Drosophila melanogaster: one gene and its partners. The protein of the gene in region 1 purifies or fractionates together with the protein of each later gene. This does not show direct contact. Each region holds a gene or a part of one and is shown in the gene's direction. Other genes may lie near its edges.

Region 1 (7,262 bases):
GTATTGCGAGGGGTTTGGGGTTCAGGGTTGAGCCCATTAAAGGTCAACTGTGAAAATATTTCGTGTCCATTTATTGTCCTGATGGTTTAATGAGACTGCTTTTTGAAAAGACCAAAGCGATGAGGCTCATCGACTTGTTTTTGGTTCTCCTGGGGTCTAGGGTTATTTGGAGAAAAGAGTGGGCCATTTAATGGTATAATAATAACAGAAGGGTTCGGTGGGCGCACTCCAAAAAGTTGAGGGGTTTCCATGTTCCATGTCCATGGCAATAGATACTCATTAACCCATTTGTGGCAACCGAGGGCTTAAATGTAATAAACTCCTAGAAAAACAGCAGAAGTGTCATTACGAAAATAGTACAAACGATCCCTTAAAACTCTTTTAATGTAAAACAAGTGATTATAAAGTAAATAAGATTTTATCTTATAATATAATTTATGGCATTCAGTTGGGGCCAACATCCTTCAAGAATCAATCTGATCCAAGTTAGAGGCATAATACCATAAATTTTTGTTTGTTTTCTCCAGGCCGAGTGCATCTTTGATTTCTGCCGTCAAGTCGTGGTAAAATGAACTCATGATGCGAATGCTTAAATATCAATTAATTATTGGGCATCCGACGTTAGCACCTCCGGCCCTTGGTCCATATTTGTATGTAAGTGCCGCAGTGTATCTATAGATATGCACTTTGTATCTGTACCCGACATTTGTGCTTTGTGAGTTCGATTTGAAAACATAATTCATCATTTTGGCCGCTCAATGGCTGTCGTTCCTGTGGACTAATGATTCCCAGCTTAAGTTTCTGGCCAAGAACGAGATTGGAATTGAGTTTTGGTTCTTCGGTGCGGACAAAACCTGTCAGAAATGGTGCGGATTGCGCGGGGAGCTCTTCGTATCTAATTGCTTATAGAGTTATTAAACATTTTCTAATGATCTCGGGCTGCGGTTACCGTCATTTGAGAACCTATTCTCGATGCACCACCAAAAAATGCAGGTGTTCAACAAAAAAAAAAAAAAAAAAAAAAAACGAACTCAATCCGGGCTACAAATTGGAACAGAATTGCCGAGATAGCTGGAGATTGATTCGAGGACCACCCATCCGAAAACTAAATCGACGTCTTCATTTGTCTGGCTGGCTGGCTTCAAATCAGGTAGCAGATAGTCGGATTTCGGGGTCACAGGTCAGGCGAAACCATTTCAAGTAGGCTTGAACAACATATAAACTATCGCCATTGTTCACTGGTTCCCATAATTGTTAAATAATTGCAGTTCTCGGCGGGAAATGGGCATATTTCCTTTGTTTTTACATCAGATTACTGGTGCCAAGACCAAAGATTCTTAAAATAATTACTTATTTATTTATATTTATGTTCTAATTTCTTTATATTACATTCTTGCTTTTTAAATCGCCAATACATTTAAATGCAATCGTGTTAAATCCTATTTGTTGATAGCCAAAATGTTCACATCGTTGGCACATCATGGGTCAAAGGTCGAACGCATTAGCAAATTAAGCGTGAAGAACGATTGTCACCATAGTTCCCACAGCCAGCCGATCAATTCAATATTCATCTGTGAAAAGTTCGGAAAATTCGGCCGGCTGTGAAATAAAATTAACGCACTCCAAATCGGGCGAATCGGGCGTATCGGGTTTTTGTTTTGTGTGTGGGAGATAGAGGAAGATTCCGAGCAATAAATAAAGCGCAGCGAAAGTGCGACATCAACGACAAAATAACAATCCTATAAATCACTTATTGGTGATTCTGGCGGGGGAGGGGTGTCGCTGGTATATAGATATATGTAGGTACATATATCCCCTCTGTATACGGTGATAAATTGCTCCGTCACACAAACGACAAACGAAACAAAACAACAATGATAACTGCAGAATACATCGCATTGGCATCTATACGCAATTTCATTTAGTAAATTGCACACAGCGCATTCAAACGTAACTGCGATTTTTTTTTTTGTTTCCACTTAACCGGGGAAAATCACCCCCCTCGTCACGATTTTTCCGCAGGCTGGTTTAATTGACAGCGCGGCAATTGAAAATAAAAGAAGTTTTTGTTTGGAATCGAATCTCGATGTTGCGCGGGCAACAAGTGGCCGTCTCCGAAATATCCGAAATGTTGCCAGCCGGAAAATTCGTCTTGCATACCCGCCCGATTTTCCCCCCAGCATTCGTCGGTTACTTCGACAGCAAGATCGTAAAATGCTGTGCCGAAAAATAAGACGTTAAACTTTGGTTTTCCTCATTTCGAAATGTTGCAAGAGGTTTCGGCAACATGCTGCTAACTTCGAAGGATGTTTAGATAGTGTTCCCGAATATTCTTACAAAACTTATCGAAGTGTGAGATTTTCATCTTGCATATCAATCGGAAAAACCTTAGCTAGACATCATCTCCTCGCGATAGCACACTTTGCGTAATATATGTACATACGTGTAGCTCTTTTAAATGTGCCCCCGAATAAAGTAGTTACATTTTTAATGCTTCGTTCTGAAAGTTTGTTGACAAAGCTCCACAAAGATTGGGCAACAAAAACGTGTCAAAAAACCTGACACCAGTCGCTCGTAAAAGTGACGAAATGGGGCTTAAGTGCCACCGCCCAGTTTCTCCGCCCATTGTCGTTTGACCTTGCTGACACTCGAGAAGAAAAGAGCTGAATTCTTCGCCGCCTAACGGTAGACACTCTCCATCTCTTTTAGTCTCCACTGAAAACATATTTGGCCAATAACTGATATTAATATTCCTGTGCACTTATTACGTTATTTATGTAAATTAATTTCATTTTAAAAGAGCTCAGATTTTCGGTTTTATAAATTGCTATTATCTATGCACTTTACTTCTTAAACTTCTACCATCTCCCTTGCTTGATTACTTTCGGTTGGCAACATGCTGCGTCGCATCGGCTGGCAACATTTGGGGTTGCCAGATCTTGTGGCGCGGCAATAGCTGTGGTATTTTGCGGCGGCAGCGCTAGCGGTGCTTTCAGTTACGTTTCGACGGCCAACGCGTCGAGTGCTCTGCTTGCTGAGAGAAAGAAAAACACAAATAGAGACAACAGAAGTGGTTCTTCTTCTTCATACTCGCATTCTCTCGCGCTCTCTTCACCGTATGTGTTAACGGTCGTGGCGCGTCGTGTGCGTGTGTGTTAGTGTGCCAGTTAAACAATGAGAAATTGGTAATAATAAATAATAATAATAACTGCTCATAACAGCCATTATTTGGCCGTGCATGAGAAGAACTCAAAAAACATGTCGAGACAGCTCCACAAAAACCAAAAATAAACTGGCGGCATTCTTGTACATATTTTTTTTTTCAAAACTTTTTTTTTAGCGTGTGACAAAAAATACACAAATGTATCTCTCTCGCTCTGCTGAGTCTATGCTGTTTTGTTGTTTTAGCCCAAGATTCCAATGAGTCACGTGCAAAAGTTATTTCAATGAAAACCTCCATGAAAACCCTTTGAAAACTCACCCAATAATCGAGTTGGAAAAGTGCATACAACAAATATGAAAAAAAAGAGCAACATCACCTGAAAAGCAAGAAAAATAAAACGGAAAACAGGTTTTTGGGCCCGCTTCGCTGCCAACTTTATTGTTGTTACTACCAACAGTGTGCACTGGAAATTGACTCACGCTTGCAGCTGGCAAATAGGAAATATGAAACATACAAAAAAGAAACACGTTAAGAATTAGGAAAAGCCGGGCAAATTGATTCCACAACTAATCTGGAATGTTAACCACAGAACAAAAAAAAAAAAAAATAGAAAAGAATAGATTCTCAAATTTCACGACCAATTTCAGTCGGTTTCGTTTTTCCTTTGTCTGTCAAAATTGCCTTTATGTCGCATATCAAAAAGTTTATTTCGTTTGCTGCGGCTTTCTGCAAAAGTTTTAATGTGATTAAAAATATTTGTTTAAACTGTTAACAAGTCGGAATAAACTCAAAGTTGGTAAATTAACTTCATCGACTTCATAGAGTGCTTATTTGAAAACTTTTGCCGCTTTACTTTTGGCAGTTTTTCGAACAAGATGTTAGTTTCGCATTAATAAATTAGTTTATTGCGTTTTATCAAACCTAACCGAGCCATATTTTAATTAAGACTACAAAATCCTATTGAGTTCGTCCAATTCTAGGCAATCAAAACGGCAGATGTAATTACAATTTGTCGGTCGCGCCGAAAGTCAAAATCAAATCATTTGACAGCATTAATAATTCACGAATATCAAGTGGAAAACTTCTAAACTTTGTGCAACTTGAACAGATTCACAAAAACTCTACCGTTGCCAGAACTTCCCCTCTGGCCAAGTCTCTCATTATAATTAGCGTTTTCGAAACTTTATGAATATTTAAAACTGCTTCGCGGGTATTTTGTAACAATGTCTCAATTTGCCAAAAGCAAGAATGAAGCGAGATGAAAGCGAAATATTCTCAAGAATATTTCGCGTGCCGCAGACACACATACGCGCGGTTCCTATGAAAAAAAAAGTCAAGGCCTGCCCTAAATATCGATTATCCAGTAACTGTAATAACCGTAAGCCAAATGAGGGGGTGCGGTGGGAAAGTTCCGCTGTGCAAAGTGGGCGGGATTAGTGGCAAGACGAGCTCGCGAGGAAGTAACTACAGTTTTCCCTCGCCTGCATGCAAATATTTTTTGTTGCTAGGACTGTTATGAGTTTTCAAAAAAAAAAAAAAAAGAGCACTGCTTGCAAGGCGTCACTGTAAATGAAAATTAACTTTTATTGATCACTTATTCTACCTTTATTATTAGTCATTGCATTGAAGTCACGTTCAATTCTATAACTCAACCGTTTTTTATTTGGTTTACGATATTCTCTAAAGCGAGCGATAACTGTACTTTAGAACTTGTTGCAATTCAAGGACACTCAGCATAGGTGCAACTTCAGTAGACATAGAGAGAGAGAGAAGGCGAAAGAGAGCGAGAGAGACAAAGCTTGAGTCATGAATTATTGGAGAGACGCACGAACTTATGTGCCGATAAGAAATATACATTTCGCTCTCGAACCCAAAAGATAACGATCTACTGAGAACACAAACTTATAGATAAAATTCAGCTTAAGCAATCCTCTCCTACCTTATCCAAAGCCCCCCTTCCCTCCCTTACCCCTTGTGTCTGTGTTGCTCCTACCATATTTCCCCTGCACTACGTGTTTCGACTGCCGAGAGCACCGTAATTTCCGTTACAAAAACTGGCCAACATGTGCGAAGTCGGCGGCGCAGCAAGTTTTATTTTCTTCGTTTTCCTTTCTCATTTTTTTTCTTCTTCGCTGCCGCCGCCGATTTTAGAGAATGCAAAAGAGACAAGGCACACACGCACACAACATCGGCTCGCGCTGTCTCGCTTGCACTGCCTTCTTCCTCTTCTCCTCGCCCATAAATGCCAACATTTGCCATTTGAAGCTAAAATGCTAAAGTTATGACAAATATCAAATGCAGATGAACTTCTAAGGCCCAATCTGACTAACCACAAAAGCCAGTTACCATGAATTTAAACTAAAAAAAAACCCTATCTATATTACTATTAAAAGCTTAGCTAATTCATCTTTCTTTCATTATCAATATACTTTCAGATTCACACACCGAAACAGACAAAAGAAAAAAAAACAAAAGACACCGAACGCAAAGTGTTAATCAGAATAGAATAATTTGTGCAATCACGAGCAGCGAAAACAAACTGAAATTTTTTAAACATTTTTTTCGTGTGCAACCGTAAACAAACCAAAGAAGTTAAAACGAGAGCTATTTGCGAGCGGGGAAAACTAGAAAACTACTACAACTGCAAAAACAGCGATAAAAATGGGTGAATTGCCGCCAAATTCAGTCGGCGTCTTTTTGGCGCTGCTCCTCTGCAGCTGCTCTTTAATAGGTGAGTACGGGTATAAAAACGCTCCCCGAATTCCCAATATGTGCTTTTCAATTTGGTATTATAATTAGAAATAGAACCCAAACGCACGAATTGTGCTAAAGTCGAAAATTTATGGCCGCTTCTCCTTTGAAAAGAAAAAACTAAGCCGGAGAAATAGAATTAACACCTTTAATCTCAATAGTTGTGTCACATCATCACCTTTGTGATGCCCTAAATTTTCCACCTGGCTGGTAACTATCATTCCAAAAAATTGACATATCATTAGCTTAGTTGGCAATATACCAATGTAACCAAACGGCAAGCGTTTGTATTATAAAGCCACAATTATGGCTAACCAGAGGTCTTTTGACTTAGCTTAAATCCGCTTATCAGTCGAGAGGGTCATATCAAATCGTTGTTGTTTCCCTATATGATAGATAGCACAAGATTTAGGCAGACAAATTACCTGAGCACTTGCACTTATGTACCTGATGATAGGCGACCCTGAAACGAACGCTAAGCAAATAGAGACCTAAGGAAATATAAGAAAATAACATCCCACGAAAACTAAAATCATCTTTTACCTTATCGCAATCTCCCAGAAGAGACTAGAGTCAATATTTACTTTACCTTAGAGCAGACCATATCCGTGGCTGGTCAAATATCGTAAATTTTTCAGTTAACATGAGGGAATTACAATCGCAGATACTCCTAAAATTCCGGCACCTGACTTTGGAGCCGTAAAATTGGGACAAACAAACGCTGATAACTATTGCGCAAGAGTTGCCTGTTAAATAATAAATAAGACTTGGTTGCCATGATTCTTTGGATTTTGGGAACATTTCCTGAAATGAGTAAAGAAACTATTGAAAATAATCAGCTAATTAGGCCTAAGACCAAAAATTAGAAAGAAAAAAAACAAGGTGCAAACACAGCTTATATAATTATTAACTGATTAACAAATGATGGACCAAAAGATAGAACATAGAAACGCAGATTGAAATTAGCTTTAAACCCATTAAACCGGACTGACTAGCAGCAAATGTGAAGTTAGTTATATCGACTGGGAAGATTCATAACTCAGACAGAGTTTGTTGCGTCGCAAACTTCTTGGCAAAGTTGGTAAAGTCAAGAAGAGTCCAGCGTCGACTTCCCAGCAATTACCGCATCCGGTTTGGACCACAAAAGCTGATGCTGGCGGAGAATTTCTCAGCGAGGCCTCTTAAAATGTTCTAATACCGCAGAAAGTCGAATTTAATTAACTCAGTTTCTTCGCCCCTTGTGCTCCGCAGCGCTTTCTACAATTTCCCCCCCGTCCAAAGAAGTGATAAAATTCTTACAGAGAAGAGTAAAAAATTGGTTAAATCATTGCAAGATGACTCAGTCGGT
Region 2 (9,171 bases), 3.7 Mb from region 1:
TTGTACGGACTGCCCAACTGATTCAGGTACATCTCCAAGCGAAAGTATGATCGCAAACTGTCCAGGAACCAGATAGCAATGGGTCTGCCCGTTAATCCACTTGGAGGTGGCGGATCCGTATCGGTTTCCGTCATCTCCACACGGTCATCCTCCAGCAGAAACTGAATTCTTCCCGTGCCCGATGATCTGCCCAGGGCGGCATCTATCAGATCGTTGTGCAGTCTTCTACTTTCCCGACTCGTGGGGAATTGCACCACAGCCAGTGGTGTGCTGGTGGCCATTCCATAGTAGTTATCTATGGCCCAAACGAGGGCGTAAACCAGGCTCACATTGTGCACGGCGCTGTGCAACATCGTGTTTCATCGGTGGCTCCTAGCAAACTGATGTCCTGCACTTTGGCCAACTCCATCGCATGACGGGTTTGCAACGCTGGAAATATTAATTGATGAGTGTGATGCCAAAACATTCTGATTACTAAAGGTTTTACATCGTAGAAAAAGTACTACTCGTAAATATTGTTTCATTATTATAATAATGATTTTTGTAAATAATTTGTTTTATGCATATTTGAATAGCAGTTCTCATAACACTTGGCATTTTTTTCTGTGCATCAGCTCGTTACTAGTATCTAAACAGGAATCACTTAACTGACGGGTCAAATTGCGTGCTGAAAGCTCTATCGGCGAAATCTGAAAATGCAAATGCACAATAAATTAACTTTAAATATATAAAATCCAAAAAGCCGTATACACATCGATGTTTATTGCTTTCACATTTCTTGTGTAAATACAAAAAGGGCACGGTAAATATACTTGAATGTAGGTTATGGAAAATATTTGATTACATTGGCAATATGCCAATAATTACTAAACATATTTTTTAACACCTTTGCATTGCTTTTTTTTTTTTTGCTTTTTGACAAGCCTGACATAATTTTGCAGAGCTCAAGGGTTATTCAAAAATAAATAAAAAAAAAGAGTTGTAAGATATCAATTATAGTCAAAAAATGTATTTGATTCTTTGCCATACAAAACCACACCTGTGTTGTGAATAATATTAAGATTTTAATTCAATGAGTTTTTTCTTAGGCAGCTTACGCATTTCAGTCGCCGGAATCGTGATTAAATGTGAGATAGCTGCGGCTCATGAGTAATTTTATAAAGATCAGAGTCTGCGTTAATCCGAAACCAAATCGGAGCCAGCCAAAGGTCGCTGTACCGAGTTTCGTTTCGCACTTTTTGCTGACCTCCACAAAAGCCACCCGCTGCGATGACAGAAGCTTTTGTTTCTCGTGTCGTGTCTACAAGCTGAACCACCGCTGACCTCAGCAAACCACGGTGGTGGTGTTGGTGGTGCTTCTGGTGACACATAAACCATAAGACGATCGCAAGAATTCTACGGATCGACGCTTGAAGGGCAGACACACCACGGCCCTCAACAAAAATCAGGGGCGGATTGCGCTGCAGTGTATTTCTATCTTTCATAATGACTCTTTAAATGTTATAATATTACCGTTTCCTTAAAGAAAGTTTTTGTTTAAATATTTATTTCAATTGTTTGTTTTTTTTTTTTTTAGTTGAGAATTATTAGTGGCAAAAGAGTGACGTGAAGATAACTTCCCCTATTGATTTCGCGGCTTTGTGGTATATTTTCGGCGCCTTCCGTGTGATTCCAGACCTGATTTCGTTCATACTGTCTACTGTGCATCATTTGCGCTGAATTCGTGGAAAATGGTGGTGAGCGGAATAGTTGGGCAAGGTTTTTTGCAGCAAATGCAGCTGCGACGGCTGCTGCGGTCTGTTTTTCAATTGGGGGCACACACACGGAAACACTGGCCGTACCCCGGTGCGTGTGGCGGACCCGGGTCCGGGTCACGATTTTGAAGACGTCTGCAGTTCTTCGCCGCCGACGCGGTGGCAAAAAATCTATTTGGACCACTAACCGGCGGCAGTCGGCAGTCAGTCGGCCAACGAGCTCCGGCGAACACAGATCGATCTTTAGCGATTTTTCCGAGTTTTGCCCAAATACAGGATGAGATTGTTTAGCCTTCTGCCGCTCCTGGCGCTTCTTGTCGTCCAGGCTGCCGGACAAAGTGAAGTAACCTCTGATGATCCTGCAACGGATGCTGGATCAACGACCAATTCCACCACGGACACCAAACCAAGGATTCCCAGTCAGGATGAGGTGAGTACGATTAGAGAGAATTAATCATTGAGTTTGTTTAATGCAATCCTCTTGATTATATTTTTCAATTCAGATCCTTGGCCAGATGCCGTCCATTAATCCCATCCGCACTGGCAATCCCCAGATGGACGCATTTTACATGATGTTCCCGGCGTTGGGCAGCCTGCTCAAGTGGGGCAGCCTTTTCCCAGCCTACTCGATTCTGGGCGCCATTCCCGACAATCTACAGCCTACAGCGGCAGCCTCCAAGGTGGTCCTTGTCCTGGCCGATGATGCGACGGCCAAGACTCGAGTTGCCCGTCAAAATCCGCCACCAAATCCACTTGGTCAGCTAATGAATTGGCCCGCTCTGCCGCAGGACTTCCAACTGCCTTCCATGGATCTGGGACCGCAAGTGGGCTCGTTTTTGGCCCAACTGCCTGCTATGCCTACCGTGCCTGGTCTTCTGGGTGCCGCTGCTCCAGTTCCTGCTCCAGCTCCTGCTCCCGCTGCTGCTCCTCCTCCGGCGCCAGCTCCAGCTGCAGATCCTCCGGCAGCACCTGTTCCAGATGCACCCCAACCAGCCATACTGGGACAAGCCGCTCTGCAGAACGCTTTCACCTTCTTTAACCCGGCTAACTTTGATGCCTCCAGTCTTCTGGGCCAGAGTGTACCCACATTTGCTCCTCCAAATCTTGATTTCGTCGCTCAAATGCAAAGGCAATTCTTCCCAGGAATGACACCGGCACAACCTGCTGCCGCTGGCACGGATGCCCAGGCCTCCGACATTTCCGAGGTAAGGGTACGTCCTGAGGATCCGTATTCGCAAGAGGCACAGATGAAGATCAAATCGGCACTTGAAATGGAGCAGGAGAGGCAACAACAGGCTCAGGTCAAGGATCAGGAGCAAGTGCCTCTCCTCTGGTTCCGAATGCCCACAACTCAGAATCAGGATGCGACTGAAGAAAAGACTCTGGAGGATCTGCGGGTCGAGGCCAAATTGAGGGCATTCGAGCGCCAGGTGATAGCCGAATTGAGAATGCTGCAGAAGATCGAACTTATGGCTAAGCAGATGAGGTCCAGCGCCGCAGCTCAAAACGGAGATTCACCCTACAGAATCAGTTATCCACTGAGTCGGACACCCATTCACAAGATCACCCGTGCTGATATTGAGCAAGCCCTTCGGGATGATTATGTCCGCCGATTGGTCAACAAGGAAGCGCAACGAAGGGCTAGAAATTCCGGCATAAACACCCAGAAGGCAAATGCCTTGAAGCGACAGGCCAAATCCCAGGATCAGACTCTGTCCAAGGAGGATATCGTCCAGATTATGGCGTATGCCTATCGCATGGCCAACGAACAGATGGAGAGCGAGAAGGGCAAGCAGGACAAGGTTTACGCGGCCTACAGGACGGAACAGAATCCAATGATGATGCAGCAAAGACAATGGTCGGAGGAGCAGGCCAAGATCCAACAGAATCAACAGCAGATCCAGCAAAATCCAATGATGATGCAGCAACGACAATGGTCGGAGGAGCAGGCCAAGATCCAACAGAATCAACAGCAGATCCAGCAAAATCCAATGATGATGCAGCAACGACAATGGTCGGAGGAGCAGGCCAAGATCCAACAGAATCAACAGCAGATCCAGCAAAATCCAATGATGATGCAGCAAAGACAATGGTCGGAGGAGCAGGCTAAGATCCAACAGAATCAACAGCAGATCCAGCAAAATCCAATGATGGTGCAGCAAAGACAATGGTCGGAGGAGCAGGCCAAGATCCAACAGAATCAACAGCAGATCCAGCAAAATCCAATGATGATGCAGCAAAGACAATGGTCGGAGGAGCAGGCCAAGATTCAGCATGATCAACAGATGGCACAACAGATGGCACAGCAAGGTCTCATGATGACGGAGCAGAGGCAAAGGCAGTGGTCAGAAGATCAGGCCAAAATTCAGCAGGCTCAACAGATGGCCCAACAGACACCCATGATGATGCCACAGATGCAACAAAGGCAGTGGACAGAGGATCCCCAAATGGTTCAGCAGATGCAACAGAGGCAGTGGGCAGAAGATCAGACCAGGATGCAAATGGCCCAACAGAATCCAATGATGCAACAGCAGCGACAGATGGCAGAGAATCCGCAAATGATGCAGCAAAGGCAATGGTCCGAGGAGCAGACCAAAATCGAACAGGCTCAGCAGATGGCACAACAGAATCAAATGATGATGCAGCAGATGCAGCAAAGACAATGGTCGGAGGATCAGGCCCAGATTCAACAGCAGCAGAGACAGATGATGCAGCAGACCCCCATGATGATGAAGGAGCGCCAGTGGGCGGAGGAGAACCCCCAGTCTGTCCAGCAGCAAGGGCCCATGATGATGCAGCAGCAGATGCCATCGATGATGCAGCGTGAAGTAGAGGACGAAGATAATAAGGCAGAGGATGACTTAGTTGGCGAGGCGGGACCCCAAATGCCGGAGAACGAAGGCACCGCCAGGCACAAAGGTAATCTCTTCGGAGTCTTTCGCAATCCTGACTCAGTGCCATCTGTCTCTCCCACAGTCGATGCCCTGGGAGTTGGCGGCAACAAGCGCAAGAAGTCCAAGTCCAAGTCGGCGCCGCCAACGGTAATTAACTATTACTATGCGGCACCCCAGCGTCCGGTGGTTCAGAGTTACGGAACAAGCTACGGCGGAGGTGGCTATGGATCGAATGCCTATGGTGTTCCTCGTCCAGTCAATTCGTATCAAAGTCAAGGCTACAGGGCTGCCGTGGGTAACGATGAGGTAGATGAGATGTTGCGCCAGCACCAGACAATGGCCAGGGTAAGTTGAGATTAGTGTTAAACCACTCGGATATACCAGACACCACTACAACCACACCACATTGAGCACCACAACCACACACACACACAAACACACACAGCCATACACTGGAACATGTAGACAGTTGCCTTCATTTGATCCATTTCATACGATTCATTCGCCTTTTTCTCATGGCATTAAACAGGCGACGCATTTCAGACAATAAACCCGAAGCAACCAGGCGAAGTCGGTGGATCGGAGAGCCAGAAGAGCAACTCTAATCCTCCAACGACGTTGACACCAGCTCCACAAGAGCAACCGCAAGAGCATCGAGTCCACAAAAGGTTAGCACATTTCCACAGGTTTGGGCGAGAGGCAGGGTTAAATGCGACCACATCCAAGGGTTGCGGATGTGGCAGGTTGGATTGTCTGTGCGGCAGGAGTTGTCGATGCGGAAGAAGAGGCTTGGAATCTAGAGTGGTTTCTAGTAGAACTTCGGGAACTTGCCAGTGCAAAGCCAGTCACCGGAACAAGCGTAGCGTTGAATATGGAACCTTGGAGACCATCGATGAGGGTTCTCTTAACGAACTTAGAAGAGAATATAAACTGGGACTAAAAGAGATCACGCTGAGTCCAGATGAAGATCCCGCCGAGGCCCTGATGCGCTACAATGCGGCCTCCATTCGCGAAGCTTTGGAGCGAGCCAGTATGGAACCGCTGGAGATCGGTGGGGATCAGTATGAAGAGGATGCGCAACAGGAGCCCATGGAGGAGGAGCAACTACAGCATGATCCCAACACAGAGCCCCAGTACAATCATAAGGACTTTGTGCGGCTAACCACTTCCACAGCATCTCCGATCACAAGTACCACAGAAGCTGCCACTCCAACAGGCAGTGACTCTACTTCAGAAGCAACTGTGACACCTGAAGTCACCACCACCACTAGCACATCCACAACAACAACAACCGAAAGCACCAAAGATGAGGGACTGGACATGCAGCAAGACTCACAGGCTGAGGCTGAGAGTTCTCATGTCACCAAGTCGATATCGAAGCAGGAGGCCGAGATTCATCAGCTGCACAGTATTGTGGAGGAGCTGAAGAATGAGATCCTTAAACTGAATTTGCGTTGCAGCACGATAATATCAAACAATGTGGCCAAAGAACCGGTCACAGAGAAGAACCCACCCGTGGTGGAGGAACCATCCAAGCAGGAGGATAAGCCAAAGGTGGAGGAGAAAGTGATTGCCGAAGAGCAAGCCCCAGTGGAGCAGGAGGAAGAGCTGGAAGAGGACGAGGATAGTACCTCTATTAGTACGACCACAGAGACTCCTTCACCAAGTGGTAGTTACTCAACAAAACCTGGACTTTCCCTTGGATCGCCTAGAGTGGATGAACAAAGTGGCTCGTCCAATAAACTGGACTACGACGACGATAACAATTGGCAACGCATTCTGGCCAATCGTGGCTATGACACGGACTACCTAACCAAATCCCATGAGCGTCAGTTTGCCCAGGGTCAAAACCTGGAGATGCCCAAGAACTGCAATTACGATGGAAATGGCAGCCAAGAGTATGGCCCCTATCCGGAGTTCCAAGCAGATGAACCCAGCACGGATACGGAGGGCAAGGCTAAAAGGGCTTTAAGTGTGAAACAACAGGCGCAGCTGCTCAATGCGGCCCTAAATGATAGTGGAAGCGATTCGAGCGATGGCACCACCACCACCACCACACCCTCTCCGTACGCGATGAGGGGAAAGTTTGTGAGACGGAGGAGCACGGCAAGAAGGGTTCCCATTCCAAAGATAGGAAAGGCGAGCGACGAGGTATGGGTACGATCTCCTCGTCAAGCGAAAATGCCCCAACGACCCAAGAAGTCCATGTCCAAGCCGAAAAAGCAGAGCTCGCAGGTGACTACGCAGGCCACCGTGAGCAGCACTAAGCTGGACAGTTTGGTGGATGTGCTCAAGGATCTGGTGCGCCTGCAAATTCAAAAGGAGAAAAAATCCAGCCTATTAAGAACCCAGAGCAATAACCTTTCGAAAACCAAACCCAAATCTATTAAGCCCGTCAAAGTCATCAAGCGAAAAAGGTTGCGCAGGAGGCAACACAAGTCTATTGCCACGACCATCAGGAGTCCCATTCAAACGAAAGCATAAGATTTCAGCCCATTTAACTAATTCACAGATCCCAACTAATCCTATACATAATTTAGATATAGTATAAGCATATTCACTATTCGTTCGCAATTCATTCATATCCATCCATCTTTCATTTGCATATCCCTCGTCCATATCGCCAGTCCATCATCAGCACCATCCGAAACCGAAATCGAAAACGCACCATCATCTGACCCCCAAGTGGGTTCCATTTTCACCTACGGCGAGGGATTGCTGCATCCGTTTATGGGTCTGCTGCCGGTGGAGAGGCCCGATGATCCGTGGAACCAGAAGCCATACGATCCTCACCATCCTCTCTACACGGGCGGTGGGAGCTACGATGCCTATCTGAGGGACGGTCGCCATCGAAGGGACACGCACATCATGGGTCAAGGTACGCAGCATGGCATCCTGACACCCGGCATGTTGGAGAGACTTCTTCGGATCAAGATGGATTTCCAGCGTAGATTTCCCCATTTGTACAAGGGTATGCTGAATCACCATACGAATCTTACCCGTGTAGAGGTACAGCCTCCGGTTCTGGGCAAGATTTCTAAGCCGAAAACTAAGACCAAGCCCAAGAATGAGGACGAACCCGTCTTCGAATTGGGAGCCGCTGAGCGTAGCCTGTTCGAGGACGAGACCAACGATTCTTTAGAGAAAGATCCCGAACCAGAACCGGATGAGGAGGATGACCGGGATGTGGAAGAGCCCAGCGAGAGCAGTGAACCTAGGGGATTCAGCAGCAAAAAAAGCCGGGATGAGAACGACATCGATTACTTCAATTTCGATGACGATGATGTTGATGATTGACTTTTATTATAATTGCCAATAAAAATTAATATTATAAATGTAGAAACAAGAACATTTTCCAAAAAAAGTAAGGGCTATCAACTCTTTTTAGCCAGCCTATAAATCAGTATCGTTAACAGTAAGTTAGTTTCCCAAGGGAATCGACTTTAATGTGATATGATTAACGCGATTGGTCCGGGCCATTACCAAAATTTCCCCGGGGATCTGAAGACTTCAGTACTCCAAAGTGGCCACATTAACACATTCCTTTGGCAACTCTTTAGCCATGAAGTACTGGTTATATATACTTTCTTGCTGCTCCTTGGTGGCCAGTACAATGGAATCCAGTTCGGATTGGGACTTGGCGGAAGCTCTGGCTCAAGTGGTGGCCAACTCGGAAATGGGTCGCTTCAAGACCTTGTACATATACACCCACACAAATTCCCAGTCAACTGGTGGCCATTTGGAGGAGCTGCTTGACCAGGTGCTGATGATTGTGCCTAACAATTTGCAGGCACGTAGGCTCTTGCTCCAGCAGTCCATGGAGTATAAACCATATGTCCATGCTGTCTTGGCTCTGGTCGATGGTCTTCCGTCTCTTTCGGCGATCTACGCTCGGATTCGAGCCACCCAGGATTTGTCGCACACACTGATATACATGTCCATGCCCACGGATGCATATGGTGAGGAGATGCAGGCGACCCTTCGATTTCTGTGGCGACTAAGTGTACTGAACGTGGGCGTAGTGCTGCGTCCACCTGGCGATCATATCCTCATGGTCAGTTACTTTCCATTCAGTGCGTTACACGGCTGCCAGGTAATCTCGGCCAATGTAGTAAATCGCTACCAAGTGGGCACAAAACGTTGGGCTAGCCAAGATTATTTTCCTAGCAAGTTGGGGAATTTCTATGGCTGTCTTTTGACCTGCGCCACTTGGGAGGATATGCCCTATTTGGTTTGGCGTCCCGATGGCAGTGGCAGCTTTGTGGGCATCGAGGGTGCTCTGCTTCAGTTCATGGCTGAAAATCTAAATTTCACTGTGGGTCTCTATTGGATGAACAAGGAGGAGGTGCTGGCCACTTTCGATGAGTCGGGCAGAATTTTCGATGAGGTGAGTCTTGGATCTAAATCCAGGTATTGTTATACAATTTGTGTAATTTTCAGATCTTTGGCCATCATGCCGACTTCTCCCTAGGTGGATTCCACTTCAAACCCAGCGCTGGCAGTGAGATTCCCTACTCCCAGTC
Region 3 (6,010 bases), on another chromosome or scaffold:
AAGGTGGCGAAGCGCGGCACCGCCACCGCCGTGGATTTGGATGACCCCTTTGCCGGATACATGGCGTCGGCAGCTGGACTGAGGGTCAGGAGATTCAGCTCCTGGTTTATCTTAAAGAGCTCCTTCTCGCGGGACAGAAGCTCGGCCATTACGGTGGGTCGATGCGAGGACGGTGGCTAAGTTTCTTGCAACAACGATTGTGATTTGATAAAAGACCTGGACAATCTACACACATTGAATTTTTCTCAGATTTAATTTGCTAGTAGCTCCACACGGCTATATCAAGGTTAATACTATAAATTCGGCTGGAGTTAATAAATTTTCCGGACGCCAAACAGTGACAGTTACCCCGGCTACGTAGTCCTGAATCCCCCGGCCGCCTTTTGGGAATCGGCCTGGTCCCTCCGGAACTCCATGTCCTGTTGCTGTTCAATGGGGTGGTTTTCGGTTTGTTCGATTGTCCCCCCGACGACTGTCGCTTGGACTTCCCCTTTTCGACGGATTGAGGAGTTGGAAAATTTTTTATTTAAATTTATTTATAGTCAATAAGGTGGGCAGGCCATGCTCTTAAGAGCTTGCTTAACTATTTTAACATAAATATATAATAAATAAATAATACATTTTAAATTATTTAAAAAATTTCCACTCATAAATATATGCTTATATTTTATTTGTGTAAAGTACCTATAATGCCAAATGGTGAGGGATTTACCCATCCCAGTCCTTGTAGAATTCTCTCACGTCTCAAAAGAATAATTCGTCCACTTCATCCAAGTTTTCCCCACACATGTATAACCGAAACAGAGGAACACGCATAATAATAATAAATATTGATAGAACTAAAGTATAAACAGCGACGGGCAGCTTCAAGGGAAATACGGCAGAAAGTAACAACAACTCGGGGTCTCCGAGGTGTCACAGCTACCTGTACTCGCACCTGGGATCTCGAGGTTGCAAGGGCGCTGGGTTCACAGAATGTAGAGACAAGTTCAAGATTTATGTGCCTACCGAGTAAAACAAAAGAAGAGCAGCATGTGTCCCACAGAGAAGCCTCGTCAGTCCAAGCAGTCAGCCCCACCAGTGGCCATATATGCCGTCATCAAGGTGTTCTGGTGACAGCCCACACACTGGCCATAATTGCACCGATCTGCTGCCAAGTTTGAGCAGAACCTGACTTCCAGTTGCGAGCGCACAGCTGTGGCCGAAAGCATGACGTTGGCCTGGAGGCGCTCCAAAGACACTTGGATACCACCTGGATACTTGGAAACTTAGTCTAGAGTGCTTCGAATCAAAGCATTTTTATAAATTTTAATCACAAACAAACATTAAAGAATATGGCAAAAAATATTTAAATTTAAAAAAACCTTAGCTAGGGAATATAGGGTTTTTTGTTGAGGTTTCCAGCCCAATGTTTCTCTATGTGCACACTTGCGATATGGGATGACCGCCGCCCGACCCTCTAATTATGCCGCACTCATTAGAAAGACAATCTGGACCCGCAGCCGTAGGTGTATTAAAGGGAGCCAGCGGAGCGTGGCCGCCAGTCCCGCCGGTCATCAAGTGCAGCTCAGCTGGACGACGTGTTGCTGCTGTAAAACTGGCAGCGACACCGCGGCCACCGCCAATTGAGGCGATACTATACTATGCCTTAGTGAAGAGATCGTCGGAAGAGCGCACATAGACTTGCCAATTGCTCCGAAAATCCCAGAGCGCCGCCACTCCGAATCTTGGCAAGACCGGTTGTCGGCCATCGTCTTGGCGTTTTCGTCGGAGTGCGAGTGGCTCGGTTTCGGGCCCAGTCAGTCTTGGCCAGGTCGGTGTGCGAGACACATCCACAGCGCTCAACGAACCTCTATCCCATCGATCCCATCGCTTCGATTTCGATTGCTATTCCGATTCGTTTCGATCCCGAATCGTGCGTGAGTTTTTCGAGTGGCGTAGCTCTGCGGTTATGGCTCCGTTTACCCGGTTCTAATTGGATCGTGCGTGTGGATTTGAAACGGCTTTCCGTGGCTCCAAGAGACGTTCATGGGTTTCCGAGATTTGAAATAGTTGCGGTTGTTGCTGTTGTGCCTGTGATGTTTCTGTCGTGATTTTCTCTGATTGTTGTTGCCCTTGGGAAGCGATTAAGCTCGACGGGTGGTTGAACCGGGCCAGTAAATACGTGCTGAATGATTTGTGAATCTTTTGAATATTTCGCGTTGTTTTCTGGGGAAGTGCAAAAGTGTCGGGAAGTTTGTTGCCTCAGTCTTTTGTGTTGAGACGGCGTAATAGCAGCAGCAGCAGCAGCAACAACAACAGCTCGGATTATTTGCCACAATTCGCACAAAGAGCAGCTCTTAGCGTCTCTTTACCACTCTTGGCCAACTCTTAAATGTGCAATTCCCGCAGCGTTAACATGTAAAACGAGTGTTGGCCACAAAACGAAATAATTATAGAGGAAGCCCGCAAAAAAAAAAAAAAACACTTAGGAAGTACATAAAAACAAAATCAAACTAATGTGAAACCAAAATTCGTGAAAATATCTAAAATCATCATCGTTCCGGGCAACCAGTTTAAGGCACAGCGAAATCGCAACAACGGACACATAACAAATTGGATTACGCAAAAAGGGCGAAGTTGGCTAGAGGTGAGTGTTGCGGAGTTGCTGTTTGAAAAGCCATAATCGAATAACCAGAAACCCGAAACCCGCAAAAAGAAACAGTTAAAATCAGGCAGAAAATCAAAGCTGTGCCGTTTGCAAAAACAAACCCAAAACAGCCTTAAAAGATGACTTCATAAATCGCCGACGCTGTGGATGTGCCAAAAATCCATCAGCCAAACCGGTTGGCTTCACTTCGCCTCGCTCGAAATTCGGAATTCACGGAATACCAATACTTGTACTCGGGGGAACAAATTGAAGAAGCGTTGCAATCTGTTTTCTGTGCAAATGAAATGGGCCTTATCTGAAAAGCGGCCTGAGAAGCCATCTGTCCGGGGATCTGAACCTGTTTGCCAAGGTTGCCAGTGGCCGATGTTGGCTGCCAAGTTCGCAGCCAGTTGCATCATCTGGGGACACAAATATGGCCGCGATGGGGTTGGCCATCGGCAATTGGCTATTTGAGTAGCCACATCACGGACATCCGTCTTCCATCCGCTTTTCCTGCCTTCTTTCCCGTTTTTCAATGCCCATTTCTGGATGCGCACCGCATAAGTAATGTGTCATCGGGCTCTTGGAATCAAAGGTCCATTCACATTTACCCCCACTCCGTGTGCGGCCATTATAAGCCAGAATCTGTTGCTAATTGGCTGACCCAACATTACCCACATGAGCTGAGACCGGGTTCTTCTCCTTGTGGAACTTTTAGCACTTCCACGGATCACACAGCCATAATTATGTTCGTTCCATTGTGTTCGGGTTGGCGTCTAAAGAAGCAATTAGAAATGTTGATTGATGGAGAGATGAACCCCGAACCCATCCCGATCCGACACTTGCATCATCTTTGGACTATGGGAATGTGATGCACGGCCTTTCCCTTTTCGGTGATGCATGGCCTATTAATTGGTTAATTTGTGGTTTGTTAGCCATCAAAATATTGTAGTTGGCCAATGTAATGGTCTTCATCTGCGTTGAATACAACGCCTTGACTAGTGAATAATGGCTCATCCGCCAAAGGCGTTTATCTCCAACTTCTGTTGGATATTTCCAAGTTCTCCGGCATTCTCGGAAAGCTTTGCGTCGAGGAACGCCAACGCAAGCGTAAAATTTGTATAATTAAAAGGCGAATCTGCGCCCGAGCTGCTCGAATACCAGTTTCTGAGCCATCGTGTAGTTAACTTGTTTATATAACAGCCAGACAACAACTCGCAGTGACCTTGAAGCGGGCACAAAATAAGGTAAAGACGGAAAATATGATTGTACGTATAATTTCGTATTATTTTGCTGCCTGGCGATGTGTGTGCTCAGCTAAGTGAGAGAAGTGAAGACATATGACGGATTTTTGGGGGTTTATGAACTAAGCCGAGAAATGCGTGTGGGCTTGATTGCCAAAAGCTGTGTGATTGATTTATAATCTCCCGCGGAAGAACTAACAAAGAAAGCGCCAAAAATGGTGAGGTCATTCAACCAGGCCAAGACCTTTTCAGCGTTAGATTTCCGCCTGCTCGTTGGTATTGATTTACAGTTGAAACGAAAGACTTAGGCAACGAACTTCGCGACTGCATTACTCATACGACACGTTGGCGCTCAGCACTAATTATGCAAAAACCCAAATGCTAGCGAAAGGCGTGCCCCAAACCCAGCCGTGAGTCACAAGCTTCGCTTGCCCCCCGTTAAACGGACACTCTGCATTGGGTTGCTTGTTTGTTTTCGGCCAAAATGAAAAGTCGTCTGGCTAGTTGATCCCCCACTCTCCAGCCTCCTCCACCACCACTGGCGAATTAAACCAACATTGGCAAACTCAAGCGGACTTAAATGCAGGCTTTTACCTTAGATCAACCCCACGCAAAACCCCGCGACTGCAGTCGACCGACCACGAGGTTGTTCAATTCATTCCAAACACTTTCAAATCCAAGCCTTAAAAGGGGAGTGGCAGGCCAAGACTTTTGAACTGCGGACTGTGCTCGAAGGAAGTGGGCACAGAACTGTGGCCAATACTTGGTGTGTTAAGTTCTCAGACACTAAGATATAAGATAAATAAATTATTGTAATATAGTAGCGATCGTCTATGATATCAATGTCTAAGTTTAGCATTTATGACACTACAAGTGATTTATCTCAGTGAAGTTCTACGCTCATTAACTTCAAGTACGAGACTATTTATGGTTTAGAGGAAATCCTCCTCAAAAGTTAGTTACTTAAGTACTGAGCCGAGGAAACTTGCATAAACTTATTATGGGAAACGTAAGGTCAGCTCGGCCTGTCATTAATAAGCAATGCCCATTTCTCGAACTCATCAGTCGAGTCCCTCATCACAAACAATAATTAGCTTTAAAAAAAAGGGGGCTCAATGAATAAGTTTTAATGATGAATTTGGCTGATTCTGACCAGCAGTAGCTGCCAATGTACGAGCAGCTGGGAGGCTGGATTTTTAGTACTTCTAGACGCGAAACCCCAGCCAAGCAAAAACGGAACTACAAAACTAGTTTCAGCTGTGCCTTTGGGCTGAAAGAAAAAAAAACCATAAAAACAGCGGGTAACAATGGGCGCCAGTCAAAAGGCAAAAAGCACGGCAACAGCAAAAAGAGCAAAATAAATGGCTGAAACTGAAATATTGTAGACCCGGCTGATAAAAATCAAACACATTCATGTCTACAGCTCAGCTCAAGTCACGTTCAATGCGAATTTCTTTGCCGTTTGTTTTTTTTTTTTTGCTATTTCGTACATATTTTTTCTTCGTGGCAATAAGCAAGCCTGCGGCCACAAAAATTAGGCGTCAAAATGGGAGAGAAAAATATATTTAGGCAGCGCCGCGGGCCGAGCGATTGTGGGTGTCCAATCAGCGGTTTGCATATTGGCCAGTTGGTTTGAGCCCAATTGGACATCTTGACAAATGGCAGAGAAGCTCGCCATTTGCAGAGAACTTACATAACTTCGTGACAGCAGCAAGAGCAGTGACACGCAACGCATTGGGCAGTTTTTGGTCTTAAGCCCAAACTTGGTTCGCACAGTGTGTGGCAAGACCCGATGTCTCCACGCTCCAGTTTGATGCGTGTGGCAACAACCAGGTCAGCGCATTTGGCCAAGAGGGTGGAGTTGCGTTTTTCCACTTTAAGACCCCCTAATGATGCGCGATTTTCGAGTTCTCACATTGCCTTAATGGCCAATTGCCCATTAGAGCCTGGTCGGCTGTCGTTGGCCCAATCTATTAAATCTATAAACGGAATCGGCGTTGGCGTTTATTGCAATTGGCCAACAGCAAATTAACAGCATTGTTAGCTCATTTGAGGCGAACAATGGCTGCGGCGAGACAATTGCACTGACCTTGGGACAATCGCCGGGTGGCTATAGGTTCGTTCCGATCCGCTGGCT

Evidence for each region. Proteins that work in one complex are often made in the same cells at the same time.
Region 2: the proteins of Fas2 (region 1) and dec purify together in Drosophila melanogaster (affinity purification with mass spectrometry, with the first as the bait; 2 studies listed by BioGRID). This does not show direct contact.
Region 3: the proteins of Fas2 (region 1) and pio purify together in Drosophila melanogaster (affinity purification with mass spectrometry, with the first as the bait; 2 studies listed by BioGRID). This does not show direct contact.

The regions. Positions count from the first base shown.
Region 1 is NC_004354.4:4,201,823-4,209,084, reverse strand, and holds the start of Fas2 (fasciclin 2), read left to right. Parts: upstream 1-2,991; 5' UTR 2,992-3,185; intron 3,186-5,598; 5' UTR 5,599-5,824; coding exon 5,825-5,894; intron 5,895-7,262.
Region 2 is NC_004354.4:7,866,008-7,875,178, reverse strand, and holds dec (defective chorion), read left to right. Parts: upstream 1-1,956; 5' UTR 1,957-2,031; coding exon 2,032-2,184; exon of another isoform or gene 2,185-2,257; coding exon 2,258-4,673; intron 4,674-4,730; coding exon 4,731-4,993; intron 4,994-5,177; coding exon of another isoform or gene 5,178-5,191; coding exon 5,192-7,132; 3' UTR 7,133-7,275; coding exon of another isoform or gene 7,276-7,945; 3' UTR 7,946-7,980; downstream 7,981-9,171. Other genes in the region: Ir7c (ionotropic receptor 7c), read right to left, coding at 1-353; Ir7b (ionotropic receptor 7b), read left to right, coding at 8,211-9,035, 9,089-9,171. UniProt on the Drosophila melanogaster protein: Required for proper assembly of the eggshell.
Region 3 is NT_033778.4:24,579,450-24,585,459, forward strand, and holds the start of pio (piopio), read left to right. Parts: upstream 1-1,795; 5' UTR 1,796-1,919; exon of another isoform or gene 1,920-2,391; 5' UTR 2,392-2,629; intron 2,630-6,010. Other genes in the region: CG4681 (uncharacterized protein), read right to left, coding at 1-149.